3 linked regions of the Pelodiscus sinensis genome follow. The protein of the gene in region 3 interacts with the protein of the main gene of each other region in a biochemical or structural test. Links are inferred from orthologs where the notes say so. Each region holds a gene or a part of one and is shown on either strand. Other genes may lie near its edges. The genes, in order: OCLN, CGN and TJP2.

Evidence for each region.
Region 1: the proteins of TJP2 (region 3) and OCLN form a complex in vitro, tested with the Homo sapiens proteins (3 studies listed by BioGRID). The link is inferred for Pelodiscus sinensis from reciprocal best matches to the Homo sapiens genes TJP2 and OCLN.
Region 2: the proteins of TJP2 (region 3) and CGN form a complex in vitro, tested with the Homo sapiens proteins (2 studies listed by BioGRID and IntAct, with this or other methods). The link is inferred for Pelodiscus sinensis from reciprocal best matches to the Homo sapiens genes TJP2 and CGN.

Annotation. Positions count from the first base shown.
Region 1 is NC_134716.1:81,591,326-81,599,038, forward strand, and holds the start of OCLN (occludin), read left to right. Parts: upstream 1-4,081; 5' UTR 4,082-4,506; intron 4,507-4,819; exon of another isoform or gene 4,820-4,969; intron 4,970-6,174; 5' UTR 6,175-6,217; coding exon 6,218-6,267; intron 6,268-7,175; coding exon 7,176-7,713. UniProt on the Homo sapiens protein: May play a role in the formation and regulation of the tight junction (TJ) paracellular permeability barrier.
Region 2 is NC_134734.1:15,102,390-15,110,379, forward strand, and holds the start of CGN (cingulin), read right to left. Parts: upstream 3,149-7,990; 5' UTR 3,030-3,148; intron 1-3,029. UniProt on the Homo sapiens protein: Probably plays a role in the formation and regulation of the tight junction (TJ) paracellular permeability barrier.
Region 3 is NC_134716.1:32,194,913-32,202,949, forward strand, and holds the start of TJP2 (tight junction protein 2), read left to right. Parts: upstream 1-4,461; 5' UTR 4,462-4,484; exon of another isoform or gene 4,485-4,693; intron 4,694-4,741; exon of another isoform or gene 4,742-4,898; intron 4,899-4,993; 5' UTR 4,994-5,131; intron 5,132-8,037. UniProt on the Homo sapiens protein: Plays a role in tight junctions and adherens junctions. Acts as a positive regulator of RANKL-induced osteoclast differentiation, potentially via mediating downstream transcriptional activity.

The sequences.
Region 1 (7,713 bases), about 49 Mb from region 3:
TGTCTTTGTTGTTTAATTCACTTTAGAGTGTGTCCTTGTTAAATAACGCTTAGTTTTATAGTCCGTAGATCAGGGAATATAAAAATTTTTGGTAGGGGCCATGCCAAGATTTTGGTTAATGGTCAAGGTCTGCACTTTTCTGTGGAGGGTCTAGGGTGAAGGTTGGGTGCACAGGGTAAGGGACTGGGGTTCAGGAGACGGTGTGAGGGCTCAGCGGGTGTATGGGTGAAAGAGGGGGTTGTAACCTGGGTCAAGGGATTGGGGTGTAGGGTCAAGGAGGGGGTGTGGGTGCAGGATTGGATTCTGGCCTGGGGGAGAGGTGTAGGAGGAGGTACAGGGTCTGGGAGGGAGTTGTCACCTGGAACAGAGAGAGCAGAGGGTTTGGATGGTGATCTGGGGGAGGAAGTTGGGGTGCAGGATGGGTTGGGGGTGCCAGAAGTAGGCACTAGCTGAGAGGAGTTTACCTAAGTGCCTCTTGGCCTACACCCCAATCTGTTTGAAAATACAGGCTGCTCCCTCCACCTGGTTCTCATATCGGGCTGCCCCAGTCTCTCAGGCCAATCTCTCAGCTCCGATTGACTGGCTGTTTCCAGCCAATCGGAGCTGAGAGATTAGCTGAGGTCAGTTCTTATTGGCTGGTTCTTTCTGGCCAATAGGACCTGAGGATTGGGCTGGGAGTGGGGTGATCTCACAGAAGCCTCCACCTCCCTGCAGAGCAGAGAAATGCAGGGACTGTGTTTAAGTCGGCAGCTGTGTCTGCCTGAGGGTCCAGTCAGGGCCGTCTATGGGCTGCAGCCTGTGGCTTGGCAGGCCAGATCCGGCTCCCTGGGCCGTATTTTGCCCAGCCCTGTGATAGGGACATTATGCCATAGCAGATACTGTTCTTAAGACAAAACATAAAATTATTTTGATCATTGATAAATTTGTGATGATTTTCTAAGAAATCATAGCAGTTTGGATACTTACATTCTGATAGGTTATCTAAGTAACTATTCTGCCCACCTACATTCCACTTGCAATTTCAGCTGTATAGGGTATAATTAAAATCCTAGAGACAAAAGGCTCGACTTCTAGATACTGTTTATTTGTAATCCACTCCTAATGTTAGAAGTGCTATCTATATAGGAACAAAAATTCCATTCAGAGATATCTGTCCTCTAATCGCCAAGTGTACTATTTTGTTTTCTGTTTTGTCTACTTTGAATATAAGTTCACTGAAAACACTTGTCTAATCTTTCTTCTCTATGATGCTGATTATGCAATATTAATTACCAGGATATGCCTTGATCAAGTTGCTGTTGCTATATCAACATACAAACATGTGGAATAAATAATAAAGATGGGTGACTTTACAGAGCAAAGAAATCAACCCCTGACTAATTCAAGCAATTAGATTTGTCTAATCTCCAAACATTCTATTCACTTCATAAGACTAGGCTTCAAAATTAATGTCATTACTAATGTGCATTGAGTGGACATAGAAACGGATTATTTTCTAGTTCCAAGAGGCAATTTTTGTAGGTATGTGAATACAAGTAAGGCATATTGCCCATATCCTGTGTGGAAACTTATTCCTCCTTTGGTTATGCTCTTATGATAGAAAAACTGACAAATCAGATTTAGAATAGATTTTTATCACCCCTAGTATCATTATCTCATGGATACTAGTCCTCCACCTCGCTCCCCTTCTGTTCTAAATCTGATTTGTCAGTTTTATAATGTGTTCACTTTTTTTTTCATTGTATTCCTTTGGTATATATGGTCGTGCCAATTCTCTTCCAGAATTTGATCTGAGGAAGTGGGTCTGGCCCATGAAAGCTCATCACCTAATAAATCATCTTGTTAGTCTTTAAAATGCTGCATAGTCCTTTCTTTTGTTTCATTCCCTTTTTATATGAATTTTTGTAACAGTAGCAAGGGGCCTTTCTCATTTAGTTGCCTCTGGGATCAGTTAGTTCTGGGGCAGTGGTCACCAACCAGTAGATCAGGATCTACTGGTAGATCTTGGAGCCTTTGACAGGTGATCCTGACAGGTGTGGCGAGGAGGCTATCAAATGCTGTCACTTCATCTGCCCCTCTCAGCACTACCGTGCTGCTCCTGCCCTCTGCTTTGGAGCTGTGCCCCACCCCTGGGAGTTTCTTGCTTGCTGTGCAGGGAACAAGAAGAGGACGGGGTGCTGAAGTTAGGGTGTCCTTCCCCCCACTCTGTACCCCATCTCCACATAGTTGGGGGAGAGGGGAGGGCAGGGATGAAGAGAGTTTGCTGGCTGCTTTTGGGAGCAGGGGTAAGCCTGCCTTAGTCCCCTGCATCACCACCAAGAAGCCATCTGTTGTAAGCGGTGCCCAGCTGGAGCCCACATCCAAACGCCAGCCCCAGTTCTGAACCTCTCCTGCACCCCAAATCTCTACCCTAGCTCATAGTCCCCTTGCCTCCCAGAGCCTGAACCCCCCTGCTGCTCAACTACCTCAGCTCAGAATCCCTCCCACACTCCAGATCTTTTAGCTCAAGGTCAGAGTCTGTATTCCTCTATCCCGCACCCCAGCCTTCTGCCCCCAGTCTGATAAAAGTGAGTGGGGATGGGGGAGAGTGAAAGGATGGAGTGAGCAGGGGTGGGGCCATGGAAAAGGGGTGGGAAGGAGGCAGGGCAAGCATGTTTTGGTTTGGGGTAGATCCTGGATTGCACTTAAATTAAAAAAGTGATCTCATGCTTACAAAGGTTGGAGACCACTGTTCTAGGGATATCAATGTGACACTTAAATGTCCATCTCCACAGTTGATTAATCTTCAAGTACAGGACTCTCCCTGCAGGAAGTAAGTACAGCATCCAAGGAAGATGAAGCACTGTCTCCATTTAATTTTATTTTGCTTGCAATTAAAATGTATTTTAGTTTGAGCCTTGGTTACAGGGGAAAGTTATGTATATGGACACTCTTAAGTCATGTTTACAGTGTGGGTGCTAAGATGGTATAGCAAAACTGCTATTCAGTTTAACCAATACCCAAAGTGGTCTTTCTGTTGCTCTAAGGATAGTGATATTCAGACCTCAGTGGTTCAGGAGCCAAATTATAAACCTTCATTACCCAAAAGAGCCACAGTAGTGTGAATTCATTTTTGTATTTACTATAGTACTATATATAGTATAAATAAACAACAGATTAGTTAACTCAGAGCAAATTTATATTTGGTTAAAAGCATAGTAAATGTTTCCTGGTTTTTAAATTAAAATTATTAACCATAGTGTTTTAATATCTTGTGCTGCAGAGTTACAAGAAGTGAAATAAAGAGCCACTTGTGGTTTGGGAGCCTCAGTCTGAGTATCACTGGTCTAGGAACTTCACATGCCCAAATAGTCAGTGGCAAAAATCTTTCCTCAACCTCGCTGCCTTTGGAGTGGGGGTGTGACCCTCATAGCTACAGGGTAGTGCTGAGGAAAGTGAACCTTTTACACCTTTGACCACAGTCAAAGTTTATGTAGCTATTTTTTTTAGCTTTCTTACTCAGTGTTTAGCAATTAAGCTAAAAAAGTGTACTGTCTATACTAGTGGCTCCATGAATAGGTGTTGTACCTGTCTAACCCTTCTGCTTTAAATTCAATCTTTAGCTATATCTATAAAATGCCTGTTAATATATTGTGACACTATTCTTTCTATTTCCTTTAGGTGCATGCAATGGGAGAGGTGCATAGAAACAGCCCCGAGCCACTTCCAGTACTACTGCTTTAAAAGGGTGGCATTGGCTTTGCTCTCCCCGAATTTGAACCAGCCTACTTCTAGCCATCATTTTAAAAGGTGCCTTTTTTCCGGGCGCTAACCCCTCTTCCCCATTCGTGCGTTATGTCTACAGTCCAAGAGACACTTTGCAAACAATTCCAAAGGGGATTGCTGGGCTAGGAGCTGCGACCCCCCTCCCTCCAGATCTGGGGAGCGGTGCCGGGCAGCAGAGGGGGAGAGTGAGTTGAGTGTGTGCTGGCACCACTGAAGGGCGGGGAGCGACTCGCCCGCGGCTGGGAGGTTCTCGGGCACGCCCCCAGCCCGCCCTTTGTTTGCACTAGACTCTCAGAGCTGAGTCCATCCTCACTCGAAACTGGTTCTCGGCCCCCTCCGCGCGCTCGCTGCAGGATCAACCTGTTCGCTGCCTGGTGCTGGGGCTGCCGAGTTTCAGTTGAAGGGGTCACGCGCCACTGGCAGAGGGGAGGGGAGCAGCCAATCAGTGCGGCCGAAGCGGGCGGCTCCCACCCCGCATTCCAGGCGGGAGCTGCTGGGCGGGGGGGGTGAGTGCGCCTGTCCTCGAGCCCTAGGTGTGCGGGCAGGGCGCATGCACCGCGGCGGGGTGCGGCTGGTACCGGGGGGGAGGAGAGGGCTTACAGCAGCGGCTGCTTCCAGAGAGATTAAAGAGCAGGGAAGCTGGGAATCAGGCGAGCGTAAGCGGGTGCGTGCGCTGCTGGCGTTAAGGTAAATGAACTCTTGGACCGAAGCGGTTTACAAATCTCGGAACGGGACATCCAGGTGCGATGGGGGCAAGAGTAGAGTGTGTCTGGTGACTGGTGTGTTTGCTTTGTGTAGGGTCGGGGGGAGGGGTCGTCCCTTTCTCCCAACCGCATCCATGCCCAAGTGTAAGGGCTTCTGGCTTATTCTTAAAAGTTTTCCCAAATGTTTATACTTACGGCTTGTGATTGGAAATATCGAAATAAGAAAAAAAAAGCTGATACTTCTCGTCTCTAGGGTACTACTGTGCATTGCTCATTATTATAGCCAGATCATACGTAGATCTTATTTCTTTAAACGCTCAGTTGCATATTTAAACTCAGTTCTGTATTAGTTGGGCGTTGTCCCTGTGACACCAGGGATGATTCTTCAGTTACATCTTTTGTACCTTAGCCTGCCTCTTGGTTCTAGGGCTGTGCACTGTAATAAGGGTTTCGTCTCAGTTATTGTTCTCTGATGTGCAAGTTCCTCCAAAAAGAGTAAGGTAAGGAGGCAGAAATCTATTATACGATTTTAATATGTAGTTTCCACAAAAGTTGTAAATGCCAGATCGTTTCAAAGAAGTCAGTAAGTCCTTCTTGAATGGTCGGTTCAAAGATGAACCTTTTTTAACAAGTTGCTTCCTTAAGATATATTTTCTTTTTCCTCAAGAATGTCAAATCTACCAGGGCATTCAGTCTGTTATGAAAGCTTTCTTCTCAGTAGAGAGATTTTTGGTATGCACAGGAACAGGTACATTAAATTCTTCTTTGCCTCTCAAAGAAACTCTGCATTATTTTGCAGCTAATGTCTTGTGCTCTTTCCTTTTTCTCACTGTAGTATCACCTCAAGGCTGCTCTGAAACAAATTACATTTTGGTTGAAATATCTGTTTTCACCATAACTACGTTTATGAAATGTTTTGCTGATGTTTAACTGAAAGGCTCTTCTTACTCCAGCAATTAATGGAGATACCCACTTCAGGGACTGAAACCATTGTTTCAAACTATAGTTTTAAAAGGATAACTTAAAATAGAGCTCTTGGAACAATCCACAGATTGATTGACTCTAAAACCAAGAACCTCTACCTTCAAAAACATTGTACTTGCTGTCCTTTCGGGTGGAGGAGAGATAAAATTGCCACTCTCTTAAATGCATCAATAACAAGTTGCTAGTTGCTCTTTTCTTTTGCTGGACTTAATCAGTCATAGAACTGGAAGGAACCTCTAGAGGTAATCAAATCCAGAGCATTGATCTAGCATCATCTTCTAGAGCAATGGTCATCTGAAATCTTGTGCTATTTTAGGTCAATATTTTAACAAATTGGGTAAGGGCAAAACTAATGCCCCCTTCAAAAAAGAAGAAAATGGTAGGTGATCATGAAGAATTCTTGATTGGTGTTCCTACTTGAGATCTAGCTTAAGATGTTACATATTTCAAGATATTTTGGGGAAAAATCATAGTTAAGATCAACTACTGTGTTAAAGCACTGTATGATGAAGGGGAGTCTTTGTATATTTTAGGAACTGTTTGTGTACCTTGGAGTGGAAAGCTCTATTTATTGGAAGTCCTTGAAAAAATTTTTTTTTGTGGATTTGACTTTCTGTTTTTAGTAATTGAACAGCCATCTGTATAGTATAAGGCGATCATACTAACTATAATGTCAATAAGCTGTTTAGATTGTTTTGTAATTGTCACTTTTTTTTCCTAGGTACCAAAAATAAGTCTCAGTTTAGAGAACCAGTACTTCAACTATGTCATCCAGACCTTTTGAAAGTCCTCCACCTTATCGACCAGATGAATTGTAAATATTCTCTTTTCTTCTTTGGTTACTACTTTAAATAACTCCAGATAAGCAAGTGTACATAGTTGAAATTCATATCTTTAACAGCTTATTTATACAATTGTTAACAGTAACTGTGTCAACTGTCTTCAAGTTGCTGCTGTTAGCCTATATCTGGCTACGTATTTAACAAAAAAGGAAATGTCTGTCCAGCACATATAGTGTGTTCTAATAGCTTGTTTACCACTTTACAGGATGCTTTTTGTCTCTTCCATGTGTAAACTAATCAAACAACAGTTAATTAGTGATAGAAATGTAGCCGTGTTAGTCTGGGGTAGCTGAAGCAAAATGCAGAACAATGTAGCACTTTAAAGACTAACAAGATGGTTTATTAGATGAGCTTTCGTGGGCCAGACCCACAATTAATTAGTGATTGCTGCACTCAGTGTTGCAATACCTGTCTATCAACGGGGTTGAAACTCCTTAGTGCCTACATTCCTTTTAAAAATGAGATTTAGGCTCCTAAATCAGATAGGCATTATAAAGTTGAGTGCCCTTCCTTCTAAATAGCTTTACAAATGGCCCTACTGTTTGGTATGATAAATACTGCAAATTATCACTCTTAAACATTCTCTGAGTTCTCCAGAGCACACATTCCAGTAATCTTTAAATGCCAGTGGTCAGAGTGGATTAATTTCAACCCTCTAATATTATTTGTGAACAACTATCATAAAAGCGCATGAGAAAATAAAATGTCTTTTTGGAGGAATATATGCATTCCATTGAAAAATATAGGACTCTTTAAAAACTGTCTAAATCTGACCACTTCCTGAATTAATCTAACTTCATGTGTTGTGCACTACAGTTTTTTTAACAGTTTTTCACAACTGCTGAAAACTTAAGTTGATAATTTTTTCTTTTTATTGCAGCAAACCTTCTCACTATGTACCAAGCAACATTACGTATGTTGAGGACATGCGTTCTCAGCCCATGTACTCTCAACCAGCATACTCCTACTATCCAGAAGATGAAGTGCAACACTTCTACAAATGGACTTCCCCTCCAGGAATAATAAAGATCATGTCAGTTCTCATTATAGTGATGTGTGTGGGCATTTTTGCTTGTGTGGCTTCCACATTGCCTTGGGATTTAGAATTCTATGGAGGTTCATCAATGGGATCTGGTGTTGGATATCCTTCATATGGAGGTTTTGGAGGCAGTAACAGTTATGGCTACGGTTATGGATATGGTGGAGCCTATGGTATTGGAGGAAATTACATTGAGCCCCGAGCTGCTAAAGGCTTCATACTTGCAATGACAGCTTTTTGCTTCATTGCTGGAATGGCAATTTTTGTAACAAGTGTCACCAACTCAAGCACATCCAGAACAAGAAGATATTATCTAATTGTCATAATAATAAGTGCTATCCTTGGTTTCTTGGTATTCATTGCATCCATTGTATATGTA
Region 2 (7,990 bases), on a different chromosome or scaffold from region 3:
ATTATCCAAGCACTTAGTACAGTTCAGGGTTTGTTTTGGTTTAGATGCGGGGGGTTTTGTGGGTGTGGGGGGCTAAGAACAGAGAAGACGACTAATTCATTTTTAGAGACAAAGATAAAAACCAGACAACTACAATCTATTCATTTAAACAATGAGGGGTCTTATGGCATCTTAAAGACTAAACAGATTTATTTAGCCATAAGGTTTCATGGATAAAAGCCACTTCATTAGATGCATCTGCTAGTCTTTAAGGTGCCACTGGACTTCGCGTTGTTTCTGGAAATACAGCCTACACAGCTACCTCTCAGTGTCTAATCTATTCTCTTGTCATGCAGTCACACACAGCTTCTATATCAAGACCAGTAGCACTTCACTTGCAGTGGTTCCCAAACTTTGCTGCATCACGCCCCCTTTTTGATTTTTGAGAAACCCTCACACTCCCCCCCCCCAAAATAGCAGCAAAACTTGGGGTGGGATTGACAGGAGTGTGGAGCTGGGTCGCCTAGCGCCCCCCCTGGAATTTCTTCACACCCCCGAGGGGCACACACCCCCAGTTTGGGAACCCATATTGGAGGGACATTCACTTTGTGAGAAATGAGCCACTAAGCACTTAAACATATAAACTGTGTCTAGACTGGCAAGTTTTTCCGCAAAATCATATGATTTTGCGGAAAAACTTGCTAGCTGTCTACACTGGCCGCTTGAATTTCTGGAAAAGCACTGACGACCTCATGTAAAATCATCGGTGCTTTTCCGGAAATACTATGCTGCTCCCGTTCGGGCAAAAGTCTTTTTCCGAAAGACTTTTGCGCAAAAGGGCCAGTGTAGACAGCATAGTACTGTTTTCCGCAAAAAAGCCCCAATTGCAAAAATGGCGATCGGGGCTTTTTTGCGGAAAACCGCGTCTAGATTGGCCACGGATGCTTTTCCGCAAAAAGTGCTTTTGCAGAAAAGCATCCTGCCAATCTAGACGCGATTTTTCCGAAAATGCTTTTAACAGAAAACTTTCCCGTTAAAAGCATTTTCGGAAAATCATGCCAGTGTAGACGTAGCCATACAATATAATAACTAATGCAAAAAGTTCATTGCCAACTCATAATTAATTACCATCACCCTCCCTTAGAACATCTGAAACAGACATTCCCATTTGCTTTACATAGCAACTGCCATAAACACAGAAATACAAGGGATATCAGGCTGAAACATTATGGGTTTGTTTACACACCAGTTTTTACAAAGCCTAATCTCATGCCTTCATCTTCATTGAAAACTGTTTGTTTGGAGTGACACCCCCACCACAAGACACTGGTGAGGGGCACTCAGAAACAGGAGTATTGTTTTTAATGCCTGGGAACCAGAGAGCGAAACTGAGTAGTGAGTTTCAATGATTGCTCTAGTTTCGATCAGCTTGCAAAGGTAAGGAGGGTAAAGGGGAAGGCCTGAACTAGCAAGCTGCACCTGCAATTTTAAGACCCGTTTGGGCTTTTTAATCATTTTAAATGTGATCAGCGACACAGGAAAGGATTCTTCTGTGTTCTTACTATATCCCTTTAGAAACAGTGTCCATGTCAGTGTCACAGGAGATCATAGTCAAGCATGAGAAAAATACACACAGGACTACAAACAACCCCACAGACCATTTGCTCCTCACAGCCTGGAGATCTATACTACAAACAATAAGGCTGGAAATTATCTAACTAGTTACCAGTGGCTGTGTTTGAGGTTTTCTACAGGGCATGGGGCTATGTTCATTTCAGGTTATGATGATGTATTCCTCCTCTCATCTTTCATCATGAAAGACCTGGAAACCCACTGAACCACCAGTCAGGACCAGGCTGCATGGAAGTAGCAGAGGTTTCAGCTGCAATCCCTGCCGATGGGCCTCACCAGCAGAAAGCCCCTCATAGGGGTCCTCATGTTCAGTCTCCATGTCTCATGCAGCCTTTCTGCTAAGGCCTGTTATGGCCATCCAGGATTACAACTTTGCTAAGCACCTGACCTCTAGGAAGCAGACCCAAAGTCCATCACACACAGGCTACTGAATTAAAATGACTTTCAGTCAAATCCAGCTTGGGTTAGATTTGAGCAGGGAGGGGGGTCTAGGGATAAAGGACTCCAGACACCTCCCCTTCCCCCCAATTGTCCTCCTCACCTAAACCCATTCTGGGCAGGGGGAAAAAAACCTCAGCACATGACACTGCTTCTCTAGAAATAATAGGATGAAGCTGGGGTTTGGGAAGAGGAAGGAGTGGTGTTTCTTCATAAGAGAGTCACTAGAACAGGGACACACCAAGAGGGGTCCTATAGGAGCAGCAGGAGCCCTGGAGGAACTAGGAATGAGGGAGAACATGCCTGAAGAAGGGAGTGCTTTATGGGGCAGAGGAAGGGGGGGGGGGGGGAGTGTTTTAGAGGAGGGAAGTAAATACATATAGGTCAAGGGGAAATGGGTGAACCACCAGGGGAAGAAGCAACTGACCCTATAGGACAGAGCTTCTTATAGGGGAAGTCATTATAGAGGGAACATGGCTCTCCAGGGGAAGAGTCCTTATATGGAGAACTACTACAGAGGAAGGCTCTCTATAGGGGAGGGCACATCTCCAAAGAGAATCCCTATATAGACACAGTGTCACTATAGGAACCCAGCAGGTTCCCGGGGGATACAGGGGCTTTCCCATTCTGGGGGCCTCCCCAGGAACCATAGCTATGGGGGAAGGCAGCAACCTAAAGGGACAGGGCAAGTTCCAGGGGGCAGAGTTCCTATAGGAGCCATAACTATGGGAGCACGCAGGCTACGGGGAGGGTTAGGTGACACCGAGCCCCTATAGGAGCCACAACGATGCAGGAAGGCGGCGCCCCTATAGGGGGCAGAGCCCGTCCCGCGAGCAGAGCCCCTATAGGAGCCAGAGCTCCGGGGGAATCCAGAGCCCCTATAGAAGCGGGGCAGGTCCCGGGAGCCAAGCCCCTATAGGAGCTGCCGCGGCTGAGGGAGGAAGGCAGCGCCCCATGGGGCAGGGGGTCCCCGCACTCACCGCGCCCAAGCCGCTCCCCGCCGCGAGCGCTCCTCACCTCCGCGCCCTCACCGCAACCTGTTACCTTCGCCCAGGCCCCGCCCCCGGCCCCGGCCATTGGCCTGGGCTCCGGACAGACACGCCCCGTCCGTCCCCCCCCCCCCCCCACTCCCGCCGCGAGAAAGCCGCGCCCCGCCCGCGCGCCGCCCCGCCCCCGTTGGCCCGCAGCCAGCCCAATGGGCGGGGCTGGGCAGGAGAGATCAGCTGACTGCTCTGAGCGGGAGGGGCGCGCCGCCATCTTGGCGAGCGAGGGGTTCGGAGGAGCTGTTCGCAGCAAGCCCCGCCTCCTAGAGCGCCCCCCCCCCCCCCCCCCGGCTTCTCCCAAGCCAGTGCCCCCCCTTCCTACCTAGCCCCTCCCACCCCATAGAATCATAGAATAATAGGCCTGGAAGGGACCTCGAGAGGTCATCGAGTCCAGCCCCCCGCCCTCAAGGCAGGACCACGCTCCGTCTACACCATCCCTGACAGATGTCTATCTAACCTGTTCTTAAATATCTCCAGAGAGGGAGATTCCACCACCTCCCTTGGCAATTTATTCCAATATTTGACCACCCTGACAGTTAGGAATTTTTTCCTAATGTCCAATCTAAACCTCCCCTGCTGCACTTTAAGCCCATTACTCCTTGTCCTGTCCTCAGAAACCAAGAGGAACAAATTTTCTCCTTCCTCCTTGTGACACCCTTTTAGATATTTGAAAACCGCTATCATGTCCCCCCTTAATCTTCTTTTTTCCAAACTAAACAAGCCCAGTTCATGAAGCCTGGCTTCATAGGTCATGTTCTCTAGACCTTTAATCATTCTTGTCGCTCTTCTCTGTACCCTTTCCAATTTCTCCACATCTTTCTTGAAATGTGGCGCCCAGAACTGGACACAGTACTCCAGCTGAGGCCTAACTAGTGCAGAATAGAGCGGCAGAATGACTTCACGAGTTTTGCTTACAACACACCTGTTGATACAACCTAGAATCATATTTGCTTTTTTTGCAACAGCATCACACTGTTGACTCATATTCAACTTGTGGTCCACTATGACCCCTAGATCCCTTTCCGCCATGCTCCTTCCTAGACAGTCGCTTCCCATCTTGTATGTATGGAACTGATTGTTCCTTCCTAAGTGGAGCACTTTGCATTTCTCTTTATTAAACCTCATCCTGTTTACCTCTGACCATTTCTCTAACTTGCTAAGGTCATTTTGAATTATGTCCCTATCCTCCAAAGAAGTCGCAACCCCACCCAGTTTGGTATCATCTGCAAACTTAATAAGAGTACTCTCTATCCCAATATCTACATCATTGATGAAGATATTGAACAGTACGGGTCCCAAAACAGACCCTTGAGGAACTCCACTTGTTATCCCTTTCCAGCAGGATTTAGAACCGTTAACAACAACTCTCTGACTACGGTTATCCAGCCAATTATGCACCCACCTTATCGTGGCCCTATCTAAGTTATATTTGCCTAGTTTATCAATAAGAATATCATGCGAGACCGTATCAAATGCCTTACTAAAGTCTAGGTATATGACATCCACCGCTTCTCCCTTATCCACAAGGCTCGTTATCTTATCAAAGAAAGCTATCAGATTAGTTTGGCATGACTTGTTCTTCACAAACCCATGCTGGCTATTCCCTATCACTTTATTACTTTCCAAGTGTTTGCATACGATTTCCTTAATTACCTGCTCCATTATCTTCCCTGGGACAGACGTTAAACTGACCGGTCTATAATTTCCTGGGTTGTTCTTATTCCCCTTTTTATAGATGGGCACAATATTTGCCCTTTTCCAGTCTTCTGGAATCTCCCCTGTCTGCCATGATTTTTCAAAGATCATAGCTAAAGGCTCAGATACCTCCTCTATCAGCTCCTTGAGTATCCTGGGATGCATTTCATCAGGACCTGGTGACTTGCTGACATCTAACTTTCCTAAGTGATTTTTAACTTGTTCTTTGTGTATCCTATCTTCTAAACTTACCCTCTCTCTGCTTGTATTCACTACGTTAGGCACACCTCCAGACTTCTCGGTGAAGACCGAAACAAAGAAGTCATTGAGCATCTCCGCCATTTCCAAGTTCCCTGTTACTGCTTCTCCCTCCTCGCTAAGCAGTGGGCCTACCCTGTCCTTGGTCTTCCTCTTGCTTTTAATGTATTTATAAAAGGTCTTCTTGTTTCCCTTTATGCCTGTAGCTAGTTTGATCTCATTTTGTGCCTTTGCCTTTCTAATCTTGCCCCTGCATTCCCATGTGCCCCCCCTTCCTGGGTAGCCCCTCCCATCCCATGTGCCCCCCCCTTCCTGGGTAGCCCCTCCCATCCCATGTGCCCCCCCTTCCTGGATAGCCCCTCCCATCCCATGTGCCCCCCCTTCCTGGGTAGCCCCTCCCATCCCATGTGCCCCCCCCTTCCTGGGTAGCTCCTCCCACCCTATGTGCCCCCCCTCCATGTCTTCCACCCCTTGTGCTCCTCTGGGCTGAGCCGCTCCCACACCAGTCCCCTGGCCTGGGCAGCCCCCCTGCTCGCTCTCCCCACCCCCTCCTAGTCAGTCTGCAGTCTGGCTTTCCCATCCCCCCTCTGTTCCCTTCCCCATTGCCCCCGGCCTGCCCGCCTGTTTGCACCTGATCCCTCTTCTGGCCTGGACAGCTCCTCTGCCCTCCCCAATGCAGCCTCCGATTTGCCCCCTAGTGCCCTCCACCTCATAGGCCTAGGCAGGGCAGTTCCCCATATTGCTGTATGGCTTCCTCCACTTCAAAGCTAGGTCAAGGGACTTCCTTTCATCTCTCTCCCACCTGGGGGGGGGGGAGGGAGAGAGTGCAAGGGAGCATTCCCTACAGAAGCCTGGCCAGTTTTCCCCTGTATCTCTTCTGTTCTTGGGGATGGGAAGATTCCTCTCACTTCCCTGAACTACTCCCTCCACCTCCTCTCCCCACTGTGTCTCCCAGATAGGCTGGGAGGAAGAGCAGCTCTCCTAGTGCCCCCTCTCCAATGTCCTTTCTACCCACTCCACCCCCAACATTTTAAGCACAGGCCCTAGGTGTCTCCGCATCTCTTCCCACATCTCCATCTCTTGCCCCCTCTCTCTTTCCCTTCCTGTCTCTCTTTCTCCTGATGCCCACCTCTCTCCAGTGTCTCCACAGCTTGTGTGAGCTCTTTATGGACAGCTTTCTCTATCTCCAAAGGTGCCCGAGGCACTGTTGGTGCTATGCAAAATATAATGCCCCTTCCCTCCCACACACCCTCTGCTTTATCACTGTTCCTGAAGTCAACTGGGCTAAATAAATCCTCTGATTTCTTAGCTTGATCTACTGCCCTTCAGCTCCACAAGCTTCATGACTTTATTTGCACAGCAAGCACCCCTGAAATGCAGTTCGCGCTCCTTTTTACCTGAGTAGGTGGCACAATCCCTCACATAAGGATGGAAGGAAATGTTTAGGCCATGGGTCATGTCTGTTCTCTTAAATCATTCTTTCCTTCATTCCCTCCCACTTGTTTCTCTTTTCTCCCTGCCAGGACTCACATGGTGTAAGTACTGTATGTATGTAAGATATAAGTATGGAAGATTAGGATAATGGTGAAAGATTCTCGCCTATGTTATACAGGAGGTCAGATGAGTTAGAATAGCCTTTCTGGCCTTAAAATCTATGGGCAAGTCTACACTAAAAATTTACAGCTGTGCAGCTGCAGTTTCTGATGAAGACACTTTAAGCCAACAGGGAAGAGCTCTCTCATCAGTGTAATAACTCCACCTCCATGAGAGGCAGTTTCTATGTTGACAAGAGAAACTGCCCCGCCAATGTTACACTTGTCTACATGGGGGTTAAGGTCGATATAACTATGTTGCTCAGATGTGTGGGTTTTTTTGTAATACTCCTGGGCAATGTAGTTATATGGAAGTAAGTATGCAGCGTAGATAAAACCTATGAATCTAAGGCCATATAAATATTCACAAACTTACAGCAGCGAGCACCACTGAACTGATACAGCTGTTTCACTGTGAGGTCCCTTGTGTAGCCCTGTTATGCAGACAGGAGAGAGCTCTCCAGTCAATATAATACAACCAGGTCAATGAACTGTGCACATGAGCACTTGTGCCGGCAAAACTTAATGTTGCTCAGGGAGTGGTTTTTTTCACATCCCTGAGCTACAAACGTTTTGCTGACCTAAGTGCTAGTGTAGACTTGGCCTAAGATAGATCCAACACGTCACGTATTGACCAGAAAGGTTGTTTTTTAGTTTGCGTGTGTACCTATGTGCAGTGTTTCAAACTCTTGTGATTTTTTTTTCATCACAAGTCACACTGAAAGCCCCAGTTCCTGGCAACATGCAATTAAGAGAGACTCTTTACTTTAATTAAAACAAAAAACACCAAAGGCTAATTTCTAACCCTGAAGCTTACATGCAAAAGCTTGGAAATGTGATCTGAGTGTGTCCCTAAATGCTCAAAAAAAGAAAGCAAATTGTTAAAAAAAGTATGTAACTTTAAAAGATCTCCTTATTTTAAAGCTAATGTTGTGATTTTTGTTTGTATGGCCTGATTCATGATGCTTAGACATTTGGCCATGCTGCATATGTCAAAGCAGCATCAAGGACTCTACTGCAGTGTTCGCTGCCCACTTTGTTGACCATTCTCCCACCAAATTGCTGAGACACCTGCCCAGCATTATTTAAGGTAAAAAATAATACCGTACATCTCAAGCTTCCCAAGTGCTTTGCACACATTCACTTACAATATCACTAATAGTGTAATGATAATCCCCAACTGTCATATAATGCTTTGTGTCAGTAGAGCGCAAGGCATTTTAGTCAGCTCTTATACAAATGTTGAGTCATTTATTCTCACGAATTAGAAGAAGGAAACAGGTGCAGAGAAATAAAATGACTTTTAGTCTTGCAATGAGTCCACAGAATCCAGGTTTCCTGACTTCAGCTTTT
Region 3 (8,037 bases):
AGAGAAAACTGTCTAAATAAAATGGCTATCTCAATTGAAAGTGTTTACATAACATAATGGCACTTAATTGATATGAGCTAATTGATTATGTTCCAAATTTGGATATGGAAGGTGGATTCTTTACAAGAGCTTAGTGTTGGCTTAACACTTGGTCTCTCTGATATCAATGGAAGTTTTACTATTGGCTCAGTTAGGTTAATGGAGAACACTTTTCAGAATTCCTTTAAAATCCTACCTATGCCTAGAATTCAGTGTTTTCCTTCTTTTGTTACATGCCTGATCACTAGAACCCTGCATAGATACAAAACTTATATCCATGTCCACACCCACATCTGCCCAAATGAGCTGCCAATATCCGCCTCCACATCCGCGAATGCAGATGCCTGCCGATTTTCAGGGCTCTCCATCACCTGTGCTGACTATACTCCAGTGGGTAGGTATTTTAGTAAATAAAGGCTTTCAGTAAATTGGGGGAGTGGTAGACAGCTATAAGAACCAGGGTTTAATCTCAAGGTACAACATAATTCAGAAAGCAAAAAGCAAATTGTGTCTTGATGCATCATATTGGAAGATCTTTGGACAGAGGTTCTGTTGTCTTACATGTTTTGTACAGTGAGGGCCCTGATCCCAAGCTGGGAGTTTTGTGTGCTGCCCTGACATGAATGTAAAAGTGTGTGCCAGAGAGACTGATGCACCTTCATTTGTCCCTCTGCACTAAGGCTGCAATACATTGACTCAGTTGATGAGTATCATTACAAGAGCATAGGTGCTAAAGCACCTCTTTTTGCTTCCTCACTTCACTTGTCTTGTGGCATTATACTCTCAGACAAATGCACTGAATTAAAAAAGGATGAAAATAGAAGGTAAAGAAAAGTCCCAATTTAGCTCCACAAGTTGTTTCACAAAATGAGAAAATCCTGCCCTGAAGAGTTTATAGTCTAAATAACTGAGAAGACTGACAAGTGAAGAGACACACAGTAGGGCTGTGCAAATAACTTTTGGTTTTTTACTTACTGGCTGAACCAAAAACATTTAAAAGATCAATTTTAAGTTTACCCTCATCAAAAATTTCAGGTTTTGGTTGTTAAAAAAAAAAAAAGCTATTTAAGTTCACAGTTCTCTGATTGAAATGTTTAGATTTGAAATAACCTTGCATTTTTTTACTTATTTTGAGTGAACGAAACATTTAGTTTCAAAGGATTTTTTAAACCTTTTAAAAAGAACACTGAAGTAAAAAAAAGGCAAAGTTTTTCCAAATCTAAACATTTCAATCAGAAAATGGTGAACTTAAATAGCTTCAGAATTTTTTCCTTTGTGTTTGATGGGACAAAAGGCAATACATGGAGGGGTGTGCTTTTTCAAAACAATAAAGCAAATTTTACATACATTTACAATTTTTTTGTTAAATCTGATTGTTTAAAAATAATTAAGCTGAAAAATTTGACCTTGCTCTAATAAGCAGGAGTAGGGCAGAGAGACTAATGCCATGGAATAAAGAGAGAAAATTGGATTGTTAGTTCAGTTTAGGCATATGTTTGGGTTAATAGCTCAGTTTTGTGGGTCTGAAAATAGTTTGTAGGCGTGTGTTGCAGAAATGAGTTCTTGGGAATAATGTAGATGGTTAAAGCAGTTTTTGGAAGAGCATTCAAAATATGAGTCAGCATGGGAAGAACAGAGAAAGTTGTGTGAAAAAAGTCAAAGGCACTTGGAAGTGGGTGAGGCAAAAGGGGACATGAAAGAAAAGATCAGTTGCAGATGGAAGGTGCTCTATGTGGTCTTTGCAAGTGAGGACAAGACATTTTAAATTGGCTGCACACAGCTGTTTGGAGCTGTTGTGATCTATCCTGTGAATGCTTCATAAAGAATAGGAGTGACTTGTATGCTGCTATTGAGGGGTTTTTTTGAACCGTAGTAAGACCAGGAAAGGACTTTATTTATTTGCACCCTTTCCAGGGTTTTGTCTGGAAGATAGAATCAGCTAATATCTAGAGAAAGAAAACAAATGTTTACAACAAGCTCCTCAGAGCAAGGCAGCTAACCTCTCCAAGTTGCTGAATTATTTTATCAATTTGTATTTGGGTAATTGTGTAGCACTAAGAAATCAATATGGTACAATGGATGATTTTGTACATGTTAATTCACTGATTTTTACACTGTTCCTGCTACTAATTAATATTTTCTGTTATGTTTGTCTTATTCTATATACAATTTTAAGAATAACATGTATCCTTGCATACCGCTCTTCATCTTCAAAACACTTAAAAACATTAGCTAATCCTTATGAGACTCCTATGGAAGATAAACATAATTTTCTATCTGCAATATATGGACTATATATGGAGTTTACTTTTATTAAGGAAAAAGGAATTGACACCAAAAAACACGTGAAACAAATAATGCAAATGGTCAGACAAACTCAGAAAAGCAAGGACATTCAGAGACTCCAATCTCCACGTCTGGTCTCATTTTGCTTTAGAACTGCAGTTGATTATCTCCTGCAGTAGCTGAAGGAAAAATAATTACTTAATTAACCCTGAACATCAATTATGTATATTAACCCTTATTTGTTTGGGGGCTTTTGGGGAGTAGATAGTTCAATAATGTCACTTACATTTCTGTTAATGATTAACAACACTTGGAAGCAGGGCCTTTAAAAATATTGTAATGGGGGAATATATCTTAATAGAAGCAGGCTCTTTCTGCTGTGTTTAGTTTTCAAGTCAAAGATTTAATTAAAAGCATGGTCTCTTATTCCTTCTGTTCAATGCATGGCATATTATGCCATAGTCAATCAAAAAGCAATTCTGTGAACCCATGCTCCTGGGCATTCTGAGAATTTCTAAACTTGAGCCACTGCTGTAAAATGATCCTGCCCACACTTGGCAACTGCCCTGCAAATTGTCAGAAGCCTGTACAGGGTAAAGTCCAACAGCTACAATACACTGTTATAAAGCTGTTGTGGGGAGTAAACTGTTTGATTTGGGAGAAATTTGCTTAGAGGGATACTATGAAGCAAACTAGCCAACAAAAGGCGATTTTTGTTGCTCCTTTATGATGTGTAAATATTACTTCTTAAATAAACCCTCATTTTTCACATTAAGACGGTCAGGACTTGGCACTCTCTTTTCAGATCAATGACTTCAGCAAAGACTGGAAAGCTGAAATATCTGGAAGTACATCTCGAAGCATAGGCTGATTAGGGAAGTTTAGGTTTCAGAATCGTGTCTGGAAGAACTGGAGGGTTCAATTACATTTTTTAGCCTGCAACTTGAGTTGCTATCAGAAGTTTCAGCTGTGAGGTGTGATATCACCAACCAGATAATCCAAAGATTTCTCAAACCCACCAGGAAAACAGAATAATGTTAAGAACAATTAGGAAAGAGAGAGAGAGAGAGCAATCCATATGCAATCCTCTAAATAAATCCATGATATGCCCACATCTTGTAATTCTGGTCTCTCCATCTCAAAAAGATAGACAGAATTGGAAAAGGTATAGAGAAGAGCAACAAAAAGGGGTATGGAACAACATCCATATGAGGAAAGATTAAAAAGATGGGCTTTTCAGCATGGAAAAGAAAAAAAACTAAGAGGGAATAGGATAGAGATCTATTCAGATCATGAATGGTAAGGAGAAAGTGAATAAAGAAGTGCTATTTAGTCCTTCATGTTACAAGAACCAGGACTCACCCAATGATATTAATAGGCAACAGGTATAAAACAAACACTAGGAAGTACTTCTTCACATAAAGGCACAGTCAACTTGTGGAACTCTCTTTGTGAAAGTAAAAATCATAACAGGTCAAAAAAGAACTAGACATTCCTGGAGGATTATAGATCCCTGAATGGCAATTAGCCAGGATGGGCATGGATGCAACTCCATGCTCTAAGTGTCCCTAGCCTCTCTTTGTCAGAAGCTAGTAATATTTCACTTCACGAGTGTCTTTTCTGTTCATTCATTCTGTAACACTTGGATTTGGCCACTGTCAGAAGACTGGTTAGCTGTCAAATGGTCTTACCTAGACTGTTTCAATACTTGTTCTGTGACTAAACAGAGGCCACAGCTGTCAAATCAGCAGTGCTTTTCAAGATTAGTGTGATTTGTAGAGGTCCCAGTTAAGATCAATCCTCAACCCAAGGAGATTTCAATCTAAATAGAATGGGAGGGGAAACGTAGAGGTGAAGTGACCTGCCAAAGGTCACATAGGAAGACAGTAGCAGAGACTAGACTAGCTCTCAGCTCAGCTTGAATCCCAGGCTTGCCCTATTCTGTGAATCACACGGTCTCTTCGCTCAGACATTTCCTAACAACAAATTACGTTGTTAAGCCAAGCGGTCAAAGATTAGGGAAGAGAGGGCTGTTTTTCCTGATTTTTTTTCCTTTCTAAATTAATATAATAGTGATTTTGAATTTAATGTCGATTTTTTTTGGGGGGGGGGCTCACCAGTTTTTTGTTCACTTACGAGACAAAGCGGTCGGCGAGAGGGTGAGTTTCAGGTCAAAACAGGGGCTGATGTAATGGCTCAGAAGATCCCACCTAGTGACTAAACCCCGAGTCTAGTAGCTTTCCTCCTCGCACCTATTGTACCAGGGCTTTGAACCGGTATTTCCTGTTCCACCCTCTCCAGCCAGAGCCAGTCGTGGGGGTGGCTGGAGAGGGCGAGAAGCTGCCAGTAAATGGGAGAGGAGGCTGGGGTAAGTCGGCGGAGCGGAGCTGCTCAGGCGGCTGTGGGTGTGCGCGGGCGGGGGGGATGTAGAACCAGCTGGCCCCCCAGCGTGTGGACAGAGTTTAGCGCGGAACCAGGACCTCAGGCAGCGCTTCCGTGCATGGCAGCTCCCAGCTCCACCTCCCTCCCCGCCCGCTGGGGAACAAGCGAGGGCTGGGCCGGGGAGCGGAGAGGCAGGTGCTCCGAAGGGCTCGGCCCGCTCCGACCCCGCTCACCTGCCTTGCTGGAGGTCTGATCAGGTCCCCCCCTCTCCATTTGCCTCCCACAGGAAATAGCCTGACTCAAAGAGACCCCGCATCTCCTGTCCCCCAGGCGTCCCGGGCTGCTCCCTCCACCAGCCAGGGGGGCGCTCAGCTCCACACGGCGCGGGCTGCTGCCGCCGGACGCCTTGCCAGCCCCGCTCCAGGTATGTCGGCGCAGCCTCGCGGCTCCCCCTTCTCTGCGGAACTGCTGCTTCCGAACCAGCCCAGCTGATTTGGAATGTCGCGGGGTGGTGGGGGGCGAGCCCCACTTCGCCACGTGCAGGCCAGGCGCTTGGCGGGGACTCTTCCAGCTTAGCTGGTGCGGGGAAGGAATTGTCCCCTGGCTCGGGTGTATTGCCCCGTGCAGTGGAGCTGAACAAAAACCCCCTTCCCCAGCCATCAGGGAAGTTCCGCTCCGCAGCCCGGCTTCCCAGCTGGCTCTGTATTGGAAATAAACTTTGGGTAAATCTCTGCTCCGGATCGGCAAGCTGCGGCTCACCCTCCGCCCCTTCCCTCTCCTGCTTTCTCCTCGCCCTTTTGCGCCTGTGCGTGCCTTGGCTGAAAGAAGCCTGAATTGGGTGTGCGTGGCTGGCTGCACATTGTTCTCGGGTTGTTTGGCTTCATGTTCGCTCGGAGGCAAGCCTCAGCAGGCTGCCAGCCCCTGAGGGAGGGAGGGACTCTTGTTCCTGCTTCACACTACCAGCCTCTCCTCTAGGGAGCGGGAATACCCAGAATCTCATTTACAGATGATCTTTTCTGTAACAGGATTATGGGCCTCTGTTTCAATTCCCACGTTAAGTACTTTGAGGGAGTCCATGATAGTAGGTGGGTAGAAGAGCTGTCACTGAGGAATCAGGCTTTCTTTAGTTTTTCTTTCTTGGAGTGTGGGTGGGAGCGAGGGAGAGAAAACGTACACCAGAATAGTGACTCAGAGTGTCTTTGCAATACAGAAAATTTCCAAGATCTTTATGTTGGCACGTCCTCACTGAATGCCAGCCATACTTCTGGATGAGGGGACATTTCAGGATATCAAAGTATTTTAAAACAAGATTTGGCAATTCAGGGGTTCAGAAATACCTTTACAGCTGTTTTGTTTCTTCAGTCAGACCTATTAACTCCTCCTCTTTCTTACTAGGTTAAACTATATGCTAACTTTAAAACACAAACCAGATATTACACAGTACCAATTACTAATAACAGTAGTCCAAATTAAACAGCTGAAGTTTGAGAAGATTTAAAATCTGAGATTGTGTAAACAGCATAGGAATTGACACAGGAAATGAGGGCTAACATAGCTTTTGAAACCGCTAAACCCCAAGGTTTTGTCCCACTACAAAGCCACCACAAGTCTGGTTTGATGTGACAAGGACCTCATAGAAGTTAACTAGAATGTACAAGGCACAGCACTAATACAATGAAATTTAATTTTAATAATGATCACTTAGGGTTAGAGAGACAAGGTGGCTTTTATGGAACCAACTTCTGTTGAGAGAGACAAACTCTTGAGTTCAGGACAAGGCTACACATCAAAATTGTCAACCTAAATTATGTTGACTGTGTTATGCAGTAACTGAATAGCTTTTTTTACATAACCATGCTCAGCTCTTTGCATTGGTGGTCCACATTCTCACTGGGCATGTTTGCACCAACAATAATTGCCAGTGTAAGGACATTGTGGGATAGTGTCTGAAAGAAAGCAAAAGTTGATGTAAGCTACACAGTGTCTACATTGACACTTCATTGACCTAATTATATAAACTTAAGTTCTGTGCCTCTCATGAAGATGGGGTATTTAAGGGCTTCTCTACACTACAAATTGTAATTTAAGTTAATTCAGCATACAGCCAACATAGTAATTACAAGTAGTGGTTCTTGTTCACACTTGCCCCTTTTGTCAGTGGCACACATTCTTAGCAGCAGCACTTCCACAAATGGGACTCACACCTGTCCCCCCTCCCAACTGTCAGGCAGGTGCTGGCTCACAGCTAGGGTCCTCTCAGCCCCATGTGGGGCTCACAGATGGATTCTCCCAGTTCTGGGGATGACTGTAAAAATACAGTTTTTTTTTTTTTTTTTAAAGCAGAACAACCCATTCTAACCAACAGCTGGAGACAGAAGGTGAAATAATAGCATCTATGAAAATGACAAGAATGTCAGTTTCACCGGTGAAACAAAAGACAGGACTATGCAGCACTTTAAATACTAACAAGATGGTTTATTAGATGATGAGCTTTCGTGGGCCAGACCCACTTCCTCAGATCAATTTGTGGAAGAAAATTGACATGACCATATATACCAAAGTGATACAGTCAAAAAAAAAAGTGAACAAATAAAATTGACAAATCAGATTTTAGAACGGAGAGGGGATGTGGGGGGGAGGTTAGTGTCTATGAGGTAATGATATTAGGGGTGATAATTCCTAATTATCATTCATAGTTCCTGCTGTGAGACTCCCTGTTGTGAAACTTAACCTTGCAACACCCTCTCAGCTGGGGCTATCAGCCTGGGAGTGATTGGGGGGTGGGGCAGGAGGAGTGCCCTAGCCCAGACAGTTAGCAAGCTCTGTAGTAGTGTATAGATCAAGCCTTATCAGTGGAATGGGTGAGTCAGGTAGGTGGGAGCTACATTTTAGTGTAGGCGCTTATAGAGACAGGATGATGTAAGGTAGTTACATAACTTGGTAGAGTAGACAAAGTGACCTGAAGAACAGCTCTGTGTAACTTATGTTAGTCATTCAGCTGTAGATCAAAAATAAATGTTCAAAAGCCATTTCTAATCGGCATTGATTTGTTGCTTATTAGTGCTCACGGTTATTCAGTGTTGGGCATGACACAAAAATAATAACCATGCATTGCTCTTCTAGTGCTTTTCCCATCATAACAAGATATCACTGTACAGTATATTCAACACAATGGGCCATATTCTGATTGTTTGACACTGCACGGCCCTGATCATTTAAGAACTGTTAAATAGACTGTGTGTTCAAGGGCAAAATTAGATGATGCATTTGTTTTATATATTTTGAGACTCTAGTATGGATGAAAACTGACCATAATACAGTGTACAAAAT